Macaca mulatta: one gene and its partners. The protein of the gene in region 1 interacts with the protein of each later gene in a pairwise test. Links are inferred from orthologs where the notes say so. Each region holds a gene or a part of one and is shown in the gene's direction. Other genes may lie near its edges.

Region 1 (4,632 bases):
ACAGTGAGGCAGGCAAGGTGGCCAGGGCGCAAAATGTGAGGAGGCTCTGTGTCAGGAACGGAGCGCTCCCATAGCCCTGAGAGTGAGTGCTTCCTTAAAGTTTGCTTCCTAGGCACCTGGCTTGCCTCTTTAGTCCTGCTGCTGGAGAAGAAGCAATGGCTCCCCACCCCCTCACCCTGCTGGCCTAGCCTCCTAGACTTAGCAGGCCTGAGAGGCTGGGAGAGAGGTGCTTTAGGGAGACTGGGGGAGCAGCCCCTGAGACCTTTCCACACATACACACTGTGCTGGGACATGCTGGCCCACAAGGGAGATAAAGCACAGTGCTCACAGCCAGGCCATTCCTGGTCAGGCCCCCAGTCCCAGAGCCCCAGCGGTACCACTCTTGGCAGGCCTAGACGGGGAGAAAATTAGGAGTGGGGTTCCCGACTTCCATCTCCCACCAGTGTCTGGGTGGTCTTGGCTGGTCCTTTCAGTTCTAATCAAAGACAAAGCCTCAGTTTTTCTGTCTCTAACCTGGGGAGAACCACATCCTCGCTGCTGCTCTTTCTGGAGGGGGGGTAGAGAGGGAGGCTGGGAGGCCTCTGCAAAGCAGGAGTCTTCTGCCTCCTGGCTGCCAGGCTGGTCCTGCTCTTCGGCCAGATTAAAAGAATCTCCAACATGGGGCCCAAAATAGGTAGAAATGAGGCAGGCCACAGGGGCCTCCCAAACACCTCTGACCACCACCCAGCACCCCAGATCCCTCCTCTTCTAGCCCAGGATTTCTGATGATCCTTCAAAGCCCAGTTCAGACCTCACCTCTCTATAGAACAACTCCCCACCCCAGGCCAACGACTAGCCTCTCCTCATTCTGCCATCTCACCTCACCAAAAGCACTTAGAACCCTGCCTGGTGTGCTGCAAATGCTCCACTAAAAGACATACTTTGTCTTCGTAATAATTTCTTGCAGCACTCAGAACTGAACCACAATCTTTGGTTCATACTCTAGTGCCATCACTGGCCCATCATGGCTTTCTTTAGTTGTTTAATTCTAATTTATTTTCAATAATATAATGAACTCCCATTAACTGACCACCCAATCTAAAAACCCAAAGGTTTAGAATGTATGCTCTTACCCTCTTCTCTCCCCCATCTTCCCACCCACCCTCCCAGAAGAAACCATCCTCTTGAAGTTTGTGTTTATTATTATCAAATAAATGGAAGACTATAGGTACCCAAAGAGGCACGATGGCTGGTAGATTCTTCAACAGAAGTAGCTGTTTTACCGATCAAGCTGCCACGCTCTTGAGAGCAGTGTCTGGCTTCCTCTTTTGCTGCAGTGTGAGCGGCATGGGGCTGGCCATGCCACAGGGTCGGTGGAGACTATGTGAGGCACCAAGAACAGGAAGGGTGAGGCCTGAGTGCCAGGCGGCAGGTGGAACACAGCTCCAGGAATAGGGAAAAGAGATTCGTGTTCTAGCTCACTGCACCTGGACAGGTGCCTGTGTGACTTTGGCCCTGCCCTGTGACATCACACAATGTTGCCCAGGTGACCCAGCTAGGTGGAAAAGCTCACTGCTTTTCCAGGCCTGGGCAGAGAGAGGGCTCTCCCATCTCTCCACCGTCCTGGGAGTGCCAAGAGTCAATCGCCTCGTTGCTGACCCTGTCCAACTGGCCATGGCCTGCAACCCCCTAGGCCCCTCCACCCATAGACCATCTTGCTGCTGAGAGATCGAGGACCTGCCCCCACCTGGCCACCCTCCCCCTTCCCCAACATCCAGACCCCAGGGCTGGTGTGTGGCACCCCTGAGACCACATTGACCTCCATACTGTCCACTAACCATAAGGACTCCAAGACGCCCAGGCCAACTGTCTGGGCAGGACTGATGCCTGATCACCCACTTATACCAGGTACTCGTCCCCAAGATTGTTAAACAAGGCCAGACACTCCTGGCCTCAAGAGGATGGGACTGAAAAACAAAAAGGTAAGGCCAGGGGAATGGGCCACACACCTGCATGAATCCATCCCTCCTTCAAAGTCTCTCCTTCAAAGTTTCATTTGTTCCTTAATCATGACAAAAGCTTCCCTTCTCTGGGCCTCAGTTTTCACAGCTGTGAAATGGGGAGTGAGGCGGTCTCTGTGGCTCTCCCAGGTTAGCTGCCCTATACTCTTGGGCCACGTGGGAACTGGAATGCAGTGTACTTGCGGGTGTTGTCAGTGCTGACCACCCTTACCTGCTTGTTTCTGCCCTCTTGTTGCTGGGGTCACACAGTCTGAGAGCCCACTGAGATGGTTCATTACCCCCATCCAATATCTCCCAGGATATTCCCAGGCTGCTACCTTGGCAGCCCTGATGCCCCCACTGCCCCCATGCTCTCCTAGCCCTGGCCCTGATTTTCTGGGGCCTAGGCCCCTGCCCTGGAACGCAGATGCTTGGGTCTCTGGAGAGAAGGGATTTTTGTGTGTTTTGTTCATCTCTGTATCCCCAGCACTCAGAACAGTGCCTGGCACATAGTGGGTGCTTAATAAAAAGCTGTGGCCTAGCAGCAGGGTTCTGCCAGGAAGGGACTAGAATCTTATTGCAATGAGATATAAACAGTTCAGTGCAAGGGACCCCTTACCTTCCTCTCACTAGCAAGGCAGAGCCCCTGCCCTAGATGGTGTTACCCACAGGGATACCAGAAGGAGCTGAGACCAAAGGCACATCGGTACTTGCAAACGGGGAATACCCTCTTTGTAGTTATACTCAGCTTGAATAAGCCAAATAGCTGGGGGTGCTCAGGCCTTAGTGTGATTTCCACTTTATTACCCTTGATTTTGATGTCTCTGGTTCCTGATGTTCTCTGCCCACAGCTGCCCCTGAACCTCCGCAGACTCCACCCTCCCCATTAAGACTCTTTCTGTAATGCCACACACTCAGGACCAGGCACCAGTTTGATCTGGCACCCTAAGCTGCCAGGTGGTCCCCACCTGCCCCACATAGCTGGGATTGGGGATCCAGGGAGTGTGCGTGGGAGTCCTGAGAAGGAGCCAAGGTTGCTTTGATTGGTAGCTTTGAGAAGCACTTTGATAGCTGGGTAGAATCGCCCATAAGGATGCTCATCATGGCCGGGGGGGTGGCTCACGCCTGTAATCCCAGCACTTTGCGAGGCTGAGGCAAGTTTAAGACCAGCCTGGTCAACATGGTGAAACCCCGTCTCTACTAAAAATACAAAAATTAGCTGGGTTTGGTGGGACACAGCTGTAATCCCAGTTACTCAGGAGGCTGAGGCAGGAGAATAGTTTGAACCTGGGACATGAAGGTTGCAGTGAGCCGAGATCGTTCCACTGCACTCCAGCCTAGGCAACAGAGTGAGATTCCGTCTCAAAAAAAAAAAAAAAATGATGTTGGCCAGGCACAGTGTCTCACTCCTGTAATCCCAGCACTTTGGGAGGCCAAGGCAGGAGTTTGAGACCAGCCTGGCCAACATGTTGAAACCCTGTCTCTACAAAGAGCGAAACTCCGTCTCAAAAGAAAAAAAAAAAAAAAAAAAGGATGCTCATCATGTATATAATATATATATTTGTGTTTCTTCTTTTGTGAATACCCAGTTCATGTTTTTTTAATTGGGTAATGCTTATAGGTTTCAGTGCTCTTTGTATACTACGGATATTAATCCTTTTTTAAATATATAGCAAACATTTTCTCCTTTTTTCCTTTTCTTTGTATTGCAGGGCATTTTGGATCATTACAGAAGTTTGTATAGATTTTTTAAATGTAATCAAACCTATCCTTTTTTAATGATTTCTGACTTTTGTGTCATCTTTGGGAATGCTTCTCTGCTCCAAAGAACACAATTCCTCTTGCTGCCACCAATGGATACTCAGGTTATGAGTTCAACGGGGTATCCACTGTGGAGCAGAGAAGGGACCCACATCCAAGGAAGCATGGTCAGAGCACAGCAGAGACAGCAAGAGCGTGGGGTCAGACGGACCCTGCTTCCAGTTCCAGCCCCGGCCCCACTAGCTAAGCCGTGTGCTTTCACGCAAGAGGTTTACTTTCTCTGAGTGTGCTTCCTCACCTGAAAAAGAGCTTTCCCCTGACCACCGTAACTCCCAGGCAAGTTTAGATGCCAAAGCTAGAAGGAACATGGGGAACCATTTTTAACTGAAAGTCCTTGTGAAACTGCTGGGAAATAGCCCCACTGCAGTCAAATAACTCGCCTAAATGACAGATCCGGGCAGTCAGGCACCCTGCCTCGCAGCCCAGCCCCTCTCCAGCTGGTGTGACTTTTCAGATGCAGGGTCCTTCTGGAGGGCAGAACCGGGCTCAGCTCCTCAGGCCTCCCAGACTGCTGGAGGAGAGGGGTGGCAAGGGAGGCGTGGGTGGAAGAGTTTGTTTCCTTCCATCTCTCTCCCCACCAGAACCAAGTTAAGCTCCCCCACCCCACCCACAGGAGCTGAATTCAAGGATCATTAACTCCCTGTTGTTCCTACCTCCTCCTCTCACCCCAGCCCTTCCCCCCAGCACATGGATCCAAAAACGCCCTGAGTGATGGGCAGTCCTAGTTCCCCTGCAACATCTGCTGGCTAATCCTGGCCTGTTGAGGGCAAGGCTGCCTGTCTGATTGGATAAGGGCGCTTGAGTTAGCAGCTTCCAAGCTTGCCAGGCTCAG
Region 2 (4,332 bases), on another chromosome or scaffold:
AGCATTGTATAAAAACATTGTATTTACCTTTCCCCAATTTTAATAGAGCAGCTATCTAATCTTACACTGACATCCCAGACTCTAGTGCACTGAGCCACTCTCACACAGGATCAAGCTAGAAGTTAGAAGATCTGGTCCGGTTCCGCCACAAGATGCTGTGTGTCCTAGGCCACGTTGCCCAGCCTCTCTGACCCCCTGTTTCCTTGTCTAAGCTGGGGCTGTGAGTGTTCACAGCCTTTTGAGTCTGCACATGCTCTAATTGGAGCCATGCTATAGAGAAGGATCATGTACCCTCTCAGTCTTGTTTTTCAGCACTCAAAAGTCACACTTCTATGATCATGAATTAGGTTCAGAAAGTGACAGAGTAAGTAGTCACAGGAATGTCAAGAGCCCTACCCCACTGAATCAACTGTGACCAAAAAACTTTGGAATATAAACTTCTACAATACACACCTATAAGATATAATTAAAAAAAAAAAACAAAAAACCTGGGGGAAGAGTTAGTTGGCCATACAAAAACTAGGGTGGACCTGTGAGGCCACATACCTGCTGTTCTCCTCAGATGGGGAAGTGTTTCAGGGTGGAGCGCCTAGGCAATCTACTCTTAGGACTGTGTAATATTAAACCCAGAAAATGTCTGGGTTGATCTGTCAACAAATATTCATTGGTAGCTACTATATGGCAGGCCCTGTTCTAGGTATTGGGGGCCTGTAGTGAACCCTACGGACAGATCCATTCTTTCGTGGAGCTAACATTCTCGTGGGGAAGAGAGGTAATAAGCAATTCTAATGATGAATCAGTGATAGGGGATAAAGGGAATCAGTGAGGGAAGAGGGGATATAAATGCTGGGAGGCTGAAGGAGCCCCTTACGTATCATCCACTTGTGCAGACGCCATATTCACAGTTGAGAAAGATGAGGCAGCGACGGTAGTGACCGACTTGAGCCTAGACTGCACCAAGCTTGCCAGCAGCAGGGCCGGATGGAAACTGTCTTCCTGCAAAGCCAGGCTTTCCTTCACAGCCCCTTCTAATGATGTTTCTTTTCCTATCATTGTCGAGCCCTTAGACCCCAGGATCGAGGGAGGGAAAACAAGCGCTCAAGCACCCCCTCGTTGGTCCCAGGACACAGGGTCTCGTCCATCCCCCATCACACCCCAGGGCCCAGGCAGAAGCCCGGCGGGGCGGGGCTTCGGACACGCGCCGGTGCGTCCAGCAGGTGGCAGCAGCGAGCGGCCGCGCCCCCCGCGCTGCCAACCCGCGAGCCCGCATCATGGATGTCGAGCTCTCCTATTTCGCATTGCTAGCCCTGGAATTCGAGACCCCAGACGAGGACCAGGATTCATGAATCAGTCGCAGGGGCCGGGGCAGGGGCCTCTGGCTCCCGACACTGGCCGAGAGGTGGGTTCCGGGGCGGGTCGCTGCTCCTTGAGGCCGGGCGGGGACGCGCTGCCCCCGCCCTGCCTCCCTGTGGTCCACACCCCCTTTGGGCTCCGGAGCCTCTGGGCAGGAATAGTCCGGGGTGCGCGCGAGCAGGCGCTGGCAACCCCACTTCTGCCCGGGATTCCGATCTGAGGAGCAGGAGGACCGGGGCGCCGGTGTCCTGCCGCCTCTTCCTCCTTGCTCTCACCTGCGCCTATTAGTCCACGCGCCTTCAAGGCCAGGGGCTACAGCCCAGACAGAGAGGGGACAGCAGAGGAGAGAGAGCACCTGAGGATACAGAGCTGGCACTGGACTGCCTTTTCACCCCCCAGGTGATGAGTGAGGTTCGAAGAACTGAAGATTTAAAAAGCAGCCGGGGCCTCCGTATTGAATGAAAGACCCAGTGCAAAGACATCACCATGAACACGAGCAGTAAGTGGATCCTCCTCTCCTTTGCCATGGGAACAGGGGTGGGGGCGGGAGGTGAGGGAGCCTGCGCTCGGGCTGCCTGGAAAGAGGAAGGAAGCCTGGCATCTCTGGACACATGACCCCCAGGCTCCTTTTTGGTGCTTTCCGTTCTCCTTGGCAGAGGGATAGCTTCATGACTCTGGTTTTTCGTGATAATTTTGCCAATATTTTATCAGCGGCTCCGGTCGCCTCTGCTGGGAAGGCTGCTTGTCTTCCTTCTAGCACTGCCTGGGAAGGCCTAGGAAGCAGTGTGTGGCCATTGTCTGACTGTGGGGGCTCTGAGGAGACCTCCCTGCACACATCTGGAAGGCACTGCCTGTCCCAGAGGTGGGAAGAGCAGGGAAGCTGGCCTGTGGGCAGGCGGGAGGGTAGGTGGGTGTGGGCAGGCAGTGGGCTGGGAAACCGCAGTTTGATAAACAAATCATCACCAGGCCACCTTTGGGTCTGGAGATTGTGAAAGATCCAGCTCCGGAGTGCCTGCAGCCCGGTGGGCCCAGGCACTGGTTTCTCTATGTACTTGCAGGCTGGTTAGTTATCCTTGAGAACAAGAGGACAGGAACAACCCTTTGGCCAAGGGCTCTAACATGCCAGAGGCAACAACTGCTTGCAGAGCCAGGACCAGATATTTTGCTGCCAGGTAGGGCCTCAGCTACTGAGAATGCAGTCCGAAATTCAAGAAGGCATAGTCTATTTCTCTTCAATGTAGCGCTGTGACCTGGGAGGGCATGTCTCGGTTCCAGACTCACTCTCCCGCCCTCTTGTCAGCTTGGCCTGTCTAGGTTATTCCAGCATCGCATGGGGCTGTTGAACCAGAGAACCCCTACAAACAGTCACTTTCCTGGGTCTATGACTTCGTTATCAGTCCCCTCTCTGCATCTCAGACTGCTCTTCTGTATGATGAGAGAGGTTGAATTAGAAAGCCTTCTAATCGGCTAGGCACCGTGGCAGATGCCTGTAATCCCAGCACTTTGGGAGGCAGAGGCAGGTGGATCACAAGGTCAGGAGTTCGAGACCAGCCTGACCAACATGGTGAAACCCTGTCTTTACTAAAAATACAAAAATTAGCCAGGCGTGGTGGCATGGACCTGTAATCCCAGCTACTCAAGAGGCTGAGGCAGGAGAATTGCTTGAACCTGGGAGGCAGAGGTTGCAGTGAGCTGAGATCGTGCCACTGCACTCCAGCCTGGGCAACAGAGTGAGACTCTGTCTCAAATAATAATAATAATAATAATAATAAAAGAAAGGTTTCTAATCTAAGAATCTACAAGTTTTTTTTCTTAAAAAGCTAGAGCTGAGCAACAAGGCCAGAACTATCAAGACCTTATTGAAGCTGTATCCAGCCAAAACCTATTTCTTCACACACTCCACCCCGCCCCCACCTCCATTTCAAGACTGTTGGCATAGAAGAGAAAAAAACAACAACAAAGCAAAAACTACTGAGATGAAAATTAAATATATTTATTTACTACATATTTGTATGATTCATCTCTCTGCTGTCTTCCTTTGTGTATTGCATATCTATGCTTAGCTAGCAAGTGTGGCTGGACTCTCTCTGCCTCTTACAGCCAAAGAATTTTGCCTTTTGATTTTGACAGGCTGGAATGGTGTTTTGGCTTCATACCAGGCTCAGGAAAAGAGGAAAATCCTGCAGCCCCTATCAGCTAGTGGGTCACATGTTTGCATTTGCATGTTTTCAGGCAAATAAAGATGTGAGTTGCCTGTCACTTCTCACTATCTCTAGGGGGAAAAAAATGTATTTATGAGAGTCCTTTCCCACTAAGTGGCAGAAGAGAAAGATGGCTCATCTATTTTTCAAGGAACTATGAAGAGAAACCGGCAACTGACTCTGCCCTTTTCTCTCTCTGGAATGCTAAGGAACTCTTGTCCTATTAGTAACACTGAGTATTCCTGAAAGAAGAAAACAGAGACTGTCCTTCTGAAAGCAAGAAAGCAAGAGAGAGAGAGAAAGAGAGAGAGAGAGAGAAAAAAAAGGAAGGAAGGAAGGAAGGAAGGAAGGAAGGAAGGAAGGAAGGAAGGAAGGAAGGAAGGAAGGAAGGAAAACAAGCACCAATAGAGTTGAATACTGACTGGCAAAAATGCCACTACTTTTTATAAGCAGGGAGAGTGTGTGTATTTTGCAGTAGTGGAAAATGAACAGAGGAGAATGACTCAGCAGCCCCGGAAGCCCCCAGGGTTCCCCCTAAGAGGAAATGCTTCTCTAAACAGACACCTGGGGGACACAGCAAGTGCAGAACTTTGGGGGCTGAACTCCATCATCATGGAGGTACCTCCCAAACCCAAGAGGCTGCAAATACAGAGAGTAGACATCAGACCTCACAAGAAAAGGAGTAACAGAGTCATAGGGTGGCATGGATAGGGCATTGGCAGGGGGTCCTTGGGTGACCTGACCAAGCAAAAATCTCCCCTTTGAGATGTGAAATTCT
Region 3 (4,521 bases), on another chromosome or scaffold:
GCCACAAGGTGGTGAAAAGGTCCACGGAACTGCAGTCTTCGCTGGGATAGGAAACCAAGCAGTGCCTGGACAGCAGAGCTCTTTTCGTGGGCAAGAGATAACCAGACAGGACCCTAATCGTGCTCTTATTCAACATTCTTCTCTCTCTGCCTAGACTGGAATAAAAAGCCAATCTCTCGTGGCACAGGGGAGATACAAGCTGGTTTACATTTGATCTAACAAAGGCATCTACCGAAGTCTGGTCTGGATGGACGGCACAGGGAGCTCTCAGGTCAGCGCTGCTGGTTGGAGGACATTCCTGAGTCCAGCTTTGCAGCCTCTGTGCAACAGTACTTTCCCAGGATCCACAGGAAATACTCAGAGTCCACCGGGACATTTTACTTATATTCAGCTTCCAAGTGTCAGAGGGGTTCAGGACTGCCTGGCCTGGGGGCCTCCTCAGGACCTCAATTCAGGATTATCTACTCAAAGCATTAAATAAAAAGAAATACATTTTCAGGATGAAGGCTGCTCTTTTAAACCCTGCTGAAGAAACCATTTCAGGCAGGATTGAAATAGGAAAACCGGGCACTCAGTTCGGCGCAAGCAGGAGTTGCCTTTAGACTAGAGAGCCTCTCCTCCGGTGCGGCGCAAGTAGGGCCTCGGCTTGAGGTCAGCATTCTAGCCGTCCAGCGCTCCCTCTCCGGCACCTCGGTGAGGCTAGTTGACCCGACAGGCGCGGATCATGAGCAGCTGCAGGAGAATGAAGACCGGGGACGTAATGAGGCCGAACCAGAGCTCCCGAGTCTGCTCCGCCAGCTTCTGGCACAACAGCATCTCGAAGACGAACTTGAGACTCAGGACCGTGAGGACCCAGAAAAGGCGGAGCACCGCCAGCCGCTTCTCTCCATCCTGGAAGAGGCGCACGGACACGATGGTGGTGAAGTAGGTGCTTAGCCCGTCAGCGGCGAAGAAAGGCACGAACACGTTCCACCAGGAGAGGCCCGGGACCAGGCCATCCACACGCAGTGCCAGCAGCACAGAGAACACCAGCAGGGCCAGCAGGTGCACGAAGATCTCGAAGGTGGCGAAGCCTAGCCACTGCACCAGCTCCCGGAGCGAGAAGAGCATCGCGCCCGTTGAGCGCGGGCCGGGACCCGGCCGAGCGTGCCACCCGCGGGGCTGCGTCTCCTCTCCCCGTGGCCCTCGCCCGCGCCTGCCGCCGCTGCTGCGAGCGAGAGGCAGAGAGCGGCCCCGCCACCCCCAGCCCTCGGCCCTGGTGCGCCGGCAATGCCCTGGCCCCGACCCGGGACTCAACCCTGGCCGCCGGTGGACGCCCGCCTCGATCGGACGCCATGCCCCACCGGGCGCGTCCCTAGTGCGTCACTTCCGGTCGACGGCGGAAGGCGGAGCGGTCCCTGTATCCCGGCCGGCGGGATCTACCTTCTAGTTCTTAGTCTCCGACCTGGAGCCGGGCGCGTCCAGATGCCGAACCCGCAGTTTCTGGTGCTCTTTGGCAGCCAGACAGGCACGGCTCAGGATGTGTCGGAGAGACTGGGTCGCGAGGCCCGGCGCCGGCGGCTTGGCTGCCGGGTGCAGGCCCTGGACTCCTACCCGGTGGTGAGGGCTAGCTAGGGCCTCGGCGTGGGGGACAAACAGGCCTGGCGTGCCCGCTTCTCGGGGTCATCGACCCAAAAGGCGTCGCATTATCTCTGAGAGCGGGTCTTTCCCTTATGGCGGATTTAGGGAAAGGGGAGGCTTGGGAAGAGGAGTTCAGTTTAGCACCTGGAGGAGGTTGGAACCTGAAAGAGAAGACGGTCTGGCCGCTCACATAAATTCCTCTGCCCTGTCAGCCTGAGTGAAGGAGAAGGGGGTCGAGTTTTGGGAAGGACGCCCAGTCCTTACAGCCGGAGGTCTTACGTGTGTGTGTCTTTTTGTTGAGGTGAATCTGATTAACGAGCCCCTGGTGATATTTGTTTGTGCAACTACAGGCCAAGGAGACCCCCCTGACAACATGAAGGTAAGGCTGGCCTGATGTGGCTCCTCAGATCCCTGCCCTCGACCCTCATCCCGTTTTCATTGCCTGGAGTCTAGGTGCAGTAAATAGCTCTCCTCTATCTCATGCATCTTCAGAGGTGGATTTGAGAGGACGTCCCTGAGTGGAGCTGGGGGCTCCAGTTGCTCTCTCTAATAAACGCTTCATAGCCACCAAATAGCCTTATTATCCATTTTAACCTTTCTTATCTTTCCAGGGCTATCTATATGTGCATCTAGTCTGGATCTTCTGTGTATTTCTAGACTGTATGACTCTCAGGGAACGTTGCTGAATTCTCTGACCATCTTTTAGGCACATATTCCATTCTTGGCACAGTCTGGTGCTGGGGATCCCGCTGTGAACCCAGTGCCATAGTTCTGTCCTGGCAGAGTTCATACTGTAGCAGAAGCACCTAATGGGCAATGACAGTGCCAGCGAACACCTGCAGCTGGGGAAAGTAGCATATGTCACAGGAGCACTGATAAGGGGCATCGAGCCTTATCTCACCCAGCCTTGGGGCCCAGGCAGAGGTTTCTGGAAGAAAAGAGTGTAAACTGAGTCACCGAAGAATGCGTGAGGGCTAGTCAGGCACCAAGAAAGAAGGAGCAGTCTGTGCAGAGGAAAAAGATTATTTGGCTTGTGTGAAAAGTGAAAAGCAGCTCAGGGTGGCCAAGCTGAGGAGTGCACTGGGGCAAGAGGGGAGGAGAAGAGAGGCAGGAAGCCAGGCCCAGTCCAAAGAGCCTGAGTAACCACGGCAAGGCAGATGGGCTTGAAATGAAGGGTTGTCGGAACTGTAGGGGTGACCCAGTCATGTTCCTACACTAGTAAGACCGCCACTGGTCAGCAGGAGAGCAAGAATAATGCCATGAGATGCACAGGACAGGCAGGAGATGCTACCAGTCTGAGCTAAGGTGGTGGCAGAAGATAGAAGTGGACGCGTTGCACGGGTGTTAGGAAGAGAGAGACCCCAGGACATGGAACAGACTCAAGAGGTCAAGCAGAATCAAGACAGGGATTTGGGCTCTGGATGGATGGTGGTTCCATCCACAGAAATAAGAGAACACGGTGGGAATAGGTGGTTGTGCAGGAAGGGAACCTGGAGACATTGAAGTGGAGAAGCGCAGTAGGACTAGCGCTCCAAGGAAGATCCTGGGGCACAGGGAGGTAGGTGTTAACATAGCCACAATACAGAAGTGTGAGAAGAGGAAGCTCTTCTCTCCCTACAGGACAGGCTGCCCAGAACGTTAGAGCCCAGGAGGGCAGGAGAGTGACCAAGCAGCTAGAAGAGAGGGTGCAGCATCCCCAAGGAGAGGCCTGAGGAGTGGGTGTTCCAGAAAGGGCTCCAGCATGTAAAGCTGCACAGAAGTCGAGTAAGATAAAGCCTGAGAGGAATCCATGGGATTTCTTGGCAAAGGGATTGTTGGTGATATCAGCAAGAGCAGCTTCAGTGGTTCGTGGGGAGACAAGCCAGGTTACAGGAGATCAGCAACTCAGTGAGTGAGTGGAGAGCATCTTTTTTTTCTTTTTTCTTTTTTTTTTTTTTGAGACTGAGTCTCGCTCTGTCGCCCAGGCTGGAGTGCAGTGGAGCGATCTCGGCTCACTGCAAGCTCTGCCTCCCGGCTTCACACCATTCTCCTGCCTCAGCCTCCCGAGTAGCTGGGACTACAGGCGCCCATCACCTCGTCCAGCTAATGTATTTTTAGTAGAGATGGGGTTTCACCATGTTGGCCAGGATGGTCTCGATCTCCTGACCTTGTGATCCGCCTGCTTCGGCCTCCTAAAGTGCTGGGATTACAGGCGTGAGCCACCGCGCCCGGCCGAGAGCATCTTTTAAGAATGTCTTGAGTGTGACCCAGGTGTAGTGGCTCATGCCTGTAATCTCAGCACTTTGGGAGGCTGAGGCAGGCGAATCACGAGGTCAGGAGTTCGAGACCAGCCTGGCCAACATGGTGAAACCCGTCTCTACTAAAATTACAACGATTAGCTGGGCATGGTGGTGCATGCCGGTAATCTGAGCTACTCGGGAGGCTGAGGCAGGAGAATTACTTGAACCAGAGAGTCAGAGGTTGAAGTGAGCCGGGATCGGCCACTGCACTCCGACCTGGGCAACAGAACAAGGCCCTGTCTCAAAAAAAAAGATGGGAGAAACCTGGCATGTTTTCTGTTTTTTGTTTTTTGTTTTAAGACGGAATCTTGCTCTGTTGCCTAAGTTGGAGTGCAGTGGCACGATCTCGGCTCACTGCAAGCTCTGCCTCCTGGGTTCACACCATTCTCCCGCCTCAGCCTCCCGAGTAGCTGGGACTACAGGTGCCTGCCACCATGCCCGGCTAATTTTTTGCAATTTTTTAGGAGAGACGGGGTTTCACCGTGTTAGCCAGCATGGTCTCGATCTCCTGACCTCGTGATCTGCCCGCCTCAGCCGCCCAAAGTGCTGGGATTACAGGCGTGAGCCACCGCGCTCGGCCGAAACTCAGCATGTTTAATTGCTGGCAGGGGAGAGACAGGAG
Region 4 (4,438 bases), on another chromosome or scaffold:
GTGGCAGTCAGAGTTTAAGAGACTAGCACTGGTTAATGATGGAGCCCCAACATAGAGAAACAAGCTCCCAAAGCTAGCAGAATGAAGATGAGGGACAAAACTGTCATTACCTCTTCCTTGCAACAAAGTTTTTTGTTTGTTTGTTTGTTTGTTTGAGATGGAGTCTTGCTCTGTCACCCATGCTGGAGTGCGGTGGCACGATCTCGGCTCACTGCAACCTCCACCTCCTGGATTCAAGCCATTCTCCTGGTTCAGCTGCCCCAGTAGCTCGGATTACAGGCACGCACCACTATGCCCAGCTACTTTTTATATTTAGTAGAAGGGTTGCACCATGTTGGCCAGGCTGGTCTCGAACTCCTGACCTCGTGATCCGCCTGCCTTGGCCTACCAAAGTGCTGAGATTACAGGCAAGAGCCACCGCGCCCGGCCACAACTAAGAGTTTATCACCAACCTGATGTGCTCTCTTGAGGAATAAGTTTGTGGAACTCTTTTGCATTAATCTTTAATTAAGGCTAAAATCAAACCTTTGGCTATAACCATGTCCAGGTCTTTCTGGGGGAATTCTCAATGGGGGGCGCTAGCAGAGTAATCTGAGTACATCCAATATACCTGATACCTAATGGTTTTCAAATATGTTTCTACTTACCTGTTCAGAAGGCAAGGAAACACAACTAAATAGCAAAGCACCTCTGCAGTGACACAGAAGTGACATTAAGAGACAATTGTGAAGATCTTGCATCCTCAAAATGCATAATTATTCCTGAAATCAAAGTTACAGACTGTCCAATATGACTGATTATGAACAGGAGAGGAATCCATTAAAAGCTAAACCCAAGTTTTGATAATTTGAACCTTTTTCCTCCAGTTTTACTATAACACAGTACTTTTCAGTACCTGACCCCAGCATAAGGAACTAGGAAACTAATTTATAGAAGTAATGCATCTATAGTAACAGTGAAAATCCACTGATTTACTATTTTAGCAAATGTATAACCTGATATCTGTACTCTAAATATTAGAGATGTAAATTTGTCAGAGGAAGCTTGGTATACAATGAATGCTTGTATTGGAAAAGACGGAACTTGCTGTTTTTACTAATTTTGTATTTCTCTGGACTTAAACTAGGAATTATGTTCTCTTAGCTTCTCTGGGTTTTCCTCTTCAAATGAAATGCTTCTGACCTGTAGAGGTTTAGAAAAGGTTATCCTCAACTAAAACAACTGCTTCAATACAAGAGAAAACTCTGTGGAAATCTTTTGCATTTGACGTTGCTAAACTTAAGTACAATAATGTCACATGTACTTATACAGTAATTGTGGGCACGCCTAAGTCCCTCCCTCTTTCCTAAACCAAATTCCCCAGATCCTAGAAATCCAGCCCTTCTGCCCTCCGGAGGCGCCTTTCCCAACGTAAAGTACAATTTTAAATTTCAGCTCCTGACTAAAATCATGATCCGCAGTCAACTGCTAGAGAATCTGGGCACCCCGGTGCCTCTGGAGCGTGCAGCGGGTGTGGGCAAGGGCAGGGGGAGTGGGCGAAGCTGCTGGTTGGTGCCTGAAATCTGTGCGTTGCCCCTTTAATTGTGTCCCCAGCCCTCGGGCGTTTCTGTCCAACGCCCACGTCAGCAAATACCTTTTGTTTCTCTCACGTTGGGGCTACTTGTTTTAGGGCGCAAAGGAACGGCCTCGAAAGGGGGTCCTTCCCCAGCCGAGAACCAAGAATCTTCCCCCGGCCCGCGCGCGCGACCGGCCGGTGCGCCGCGGCCCGCGGTAAGTGGCGGCGCGCGGCGCCGGCGGAGGGCGGGCGGGCGTCGGGGCTGCCCGGGACCCGCCGCGAGCCTGGCCGCGGGCGGAGGCGCCGCGGGCTCTCACGGCCCGGGCGGCGGCGGTGCTGAGATGCGGGCCCTGGGCGCGCCTCACCAAGACGTCCCCGGGCCGGGAGCGCGGCGGGAGGCGCCGAGGCGAGCGGGCGCCATTTGCAGCCCGGGGCGCAGCGGCGGCGGCGGCGGCGGCGCCGGCTCCGAGGGGCTGTGGGCGGCCACGGAGGACGCGCGGGCGGCGGCGGCGGGCCGAGCCCGGGGCGGCGGCGGGCGTTGGTGGGCACCGGCTCCCGGCCGCCCCTCCCCGCGCCCGGCCGCGCCGCCCAGCCCGCCAGGCCGGCCCCTCCTGCGCGCCCGGGAGGGGCTGCGGGACAATGGCCGCGCCGTCGCCGCCCGCGCCCGCCTAGCCGCCCGGCCCGGCCCGGGGAAAGGCGGGAAGGCGCGCGGAGCCTCCTGGCGGCGGCGGCGGGAAGGCGGCGGGGACGGCGCCGGGCGTGTCTGGAGCCGTCGAGCGCCGCGGACTCCGGAGGGGCTCGGGCTGCGCGGCGCAAAAACGGGCGGCCGCCGGGGGGGCGCGCGAGGAGGGCAGGGCCGGGGCCGGAGCCGGAGCCTCTGCGGGCGCGGCCAGGGGCGCTGCCGGTGAGCCTGGCTCCCAGGGCAGTAGCCCGAATTTCTCGGTACAGCCTCCATCCTTGGTTTTATGTCAAGATGCGACATCTGGGCTTAGAAAACCGAGGGCTAACTCACCGCGCCTAACCAATGTTGAGCTCCAACTATTTGCTTCTGGACGGAACCGTACATGCTCATCTCTACCCATGCTGACCGCCTCTTTTGTGAGTTAGTCAGCGGCTTGTTCCCTTCCCCTTCAGATGCGCTTATTTATCGCTGATTGTTCCAATGGCCCTACTCCACATCATTCTGAGACGCGTTTGGAAGCGGTAGATTTACACACACACCTGGTGGGCTTCTAACCACACGTCAGTATCACTATGCTTGATAAACCTCTATATTTGCACAACTTTAAATGGAGTGCTTTCACCTATATGAATTATTTCACTTAATTTCACATAAAACAACCACTTAGGCTGACGGTAATTCCACTTTGCAAATGAGGGAACACGTGTGAAGCATGGCGTTTCACCTCTAGGCCAGGGTGACATAGCCACCCAGGACCTCCTGTTCCCGTCCTGCCTTCCCTCCTAAGGTACCTCCAGAGGAGTCTTTAGAAGGGCCAATCTTACACAGCGCTTCCCTGCACTGAAAACCTTAACTGATCTTTTTCAGGAACGCCTCCAAAATCCCCAGCAAGCTTCTGCTCCAGTCTTAATCTCCTCCATGCCTCAGGTATGGATGCATTTGTGGACTGGAGCAAGAGCCCCTCACTGATAAGCAGGGATCAGATGTCTTTATTCCTGGGAACCTCTCTGGCCACACAAGTGGCAACTGGGAAGTGAGAATCTGGCTTAGGGCCCTTGACCAAATGGGTGTCTGGGTGGATTGTGCTCAAAAATGTCAGCAGGAGGCATAATGAGTAGGGACTCCAGGAAGGAGGCCAAGCCACTAACCCTTATCTCCAAGCCCTGAAATCACCAGCTTTGCTGTTGATAATGATTTGAGGCCATGAAAAACTTTGTAAGATAGAGTAATATTGATTCATCCTGTATCATTTAAATCTAATTTTTAGATACAACTATGTCTAATAGATTTAACTCAGTGACACAATGATATGTTAATCATATTTAAAGGATTTGATGTGTTTGATTCCCTTGAATGAAGCTTTTGTTACTTTTGTGCTCAAAATTGGTCAGTGGTTCCCCATCTTACGCAGTTTAAAAGCCAAAAGCTCCATAATAGTCTATGCAGCCTTACAGCATCTGGTCTCACTATGTCCTACTTCTCTCATGATTTGCTTTCCCTTTCTGACTCCATATCCCATTGCTTCCCCGCTGCTCACCTCAGGGCCTTTGCGCTTGCTTTTCCCTTTGCCTGAAATACTGTTTCCCCAGACACCCACATGACTCTTACTTCCTTTGGACTTTACCCAAATACCATCTTCTCAATGAGGCTTTCCCCAACTATAGTTTTGATTCTCTTAAGTGTTTTTATTCTAAATCTTTTCTGTCTCATGCCATTTGTGCAGCTATAAAAATACTTTGGGACTGGGTAATTACACAGAACAGAAATTTATTTCTCACACTTCTGGAGGCTGGGAAGTCCAGGCAGTTTGGTGCCTAGTGAGGGCTGCTCTTTGCTTCCAAGATGGCACCGCGTTGCTGCATCCTCTGGATGGGAGGACTGCTGTGTCTTCACGTGGCAGAAGGGATAGAAGGGCAAGAGGGGCCAAACTCACTCCCTCAGGTCCTTTTATAAGGGCGTTAATTCCATCCATGAGGGCAGAGCCTTCGTGGCCCAATCACCTCCTAAAGGTGATACTGTTGCAATAGGGATGAGTTTTTTTTTTTTTTTTTTTTTTTTGAGACAGAGTCTTGCTCTGTCGCCCAGGCTGGAGTGCAGTGGCGCTATCTCGACTCACTGCAAGCTCCGCCTCCCGGGTTCACGCCATTCTCCTGCTTCAGCCTCTCCAGTAGCTGGGGCTACAGGTGCCCACCACCACGCCT

Evidence for each region.
Region 2: the proteins of CCDC33 (region 1) and ABLIM3 interact in a two-hybrid assay, tested with the Homo sapiens proteins (2 studies listed by BioGRID and IntAct). The two-hybrid records come from large-scale screens. The link is inferred for Macaca mulatta from reciprocal best matches to the Homo sapiens genes CCDC33 and ABLIM3.
Region 3: the proteins of CCDC33 (region 1) and NDOR1 interact in a two-hybrid assay, tested with the Homo sapiens proteins (2 studies listed by BioGRID and IntAct). The two-hybrid records come from large-scale screens. The link is inferred for Macaca mulatta from reciprocal best matches to the Homo sapiens genes CCDC33 and NDOR1.
Region 4: the proteins of CCDC33 (region 1) and ZBTB8A interact in a two-hybrid assay, tested with the Homo sapiens proteins (2 studies listed by BioGRID and IntAct). The two-hybrid records come from large-scale screens. The link is inferred for Macaca mulatta from reciprocal best matches to the Homo sapiens genes CCDC33 and ZBTB8A.

Annotation. Positions count from the first base shown.
Region 1 is NC_133412.1:52,149,443-52,154,074, forward strand, and holds the start of CCDC33 (coiled-coil domain-containing protein 33), read left to right. Parts: upstream 1-1,555; 5' UTR 1,556-1,940; coding exon 1,941-1,961; intron 1,962-4,632.
Region 2 is NC_133411.1:158,102,907-158,107,238, forward strand, and holds the start of ABLIM3 (actin-binding LIM protein 3), read left to right. Parts: upstream 1-1,238; 5' UTR 1,239-1,399; intron 1,400-1,752; 5' UTR 1,753-1,839; coding exon 1,840-1,852; intron 1,853-4,332. UniProt on the Homo sapiens protein: May act as scaffold protein. May stimulate ABRA activity and ABRA-dependent SRF transcriptional activity.
Region 3 is NC_133420.1:5,246,797-5,251,317, reverse strand, and holds the start of NDOR1 (NADPH-dependent diflavin oxidoreductase 1), read left to right. Parts: upstream 1-1,427; 5' UTR 1,428-1,464; coding exon 1,465-1,599; exon of another isoform or gene 1,600-1,921; coding exon 1,922-1,999; exon of another isoform or gene 2,000-3,369; intron 3,370-4,521. Other genes in the region: TMEM203 (transmembrane protein 203), read right to left, coding at 700-1,110. UniProt on the Homo sapiens protein: NADPH-dependent reductase which is a central component of the cytosolic iron-sulfur (Fe-S) protein assembly (CIA) machinery.
Region 4 is NC_133406.1:208,334,526-208,338,963, reverse strand, and holds the start of ZBTB8A (zinc finger and BTB domain-containing protein 8A), read left to right. Parts: upstream 1-1,344; 5' UTR 1,345-1,410; intron 1,411-1,627; exon of another isoform or gene 1,628-1,669; 5' UTR 1,670-1,770; intron 1,771-4,438. UniProt on the Homo sapiens protein: May be involved in transcriptional regulation.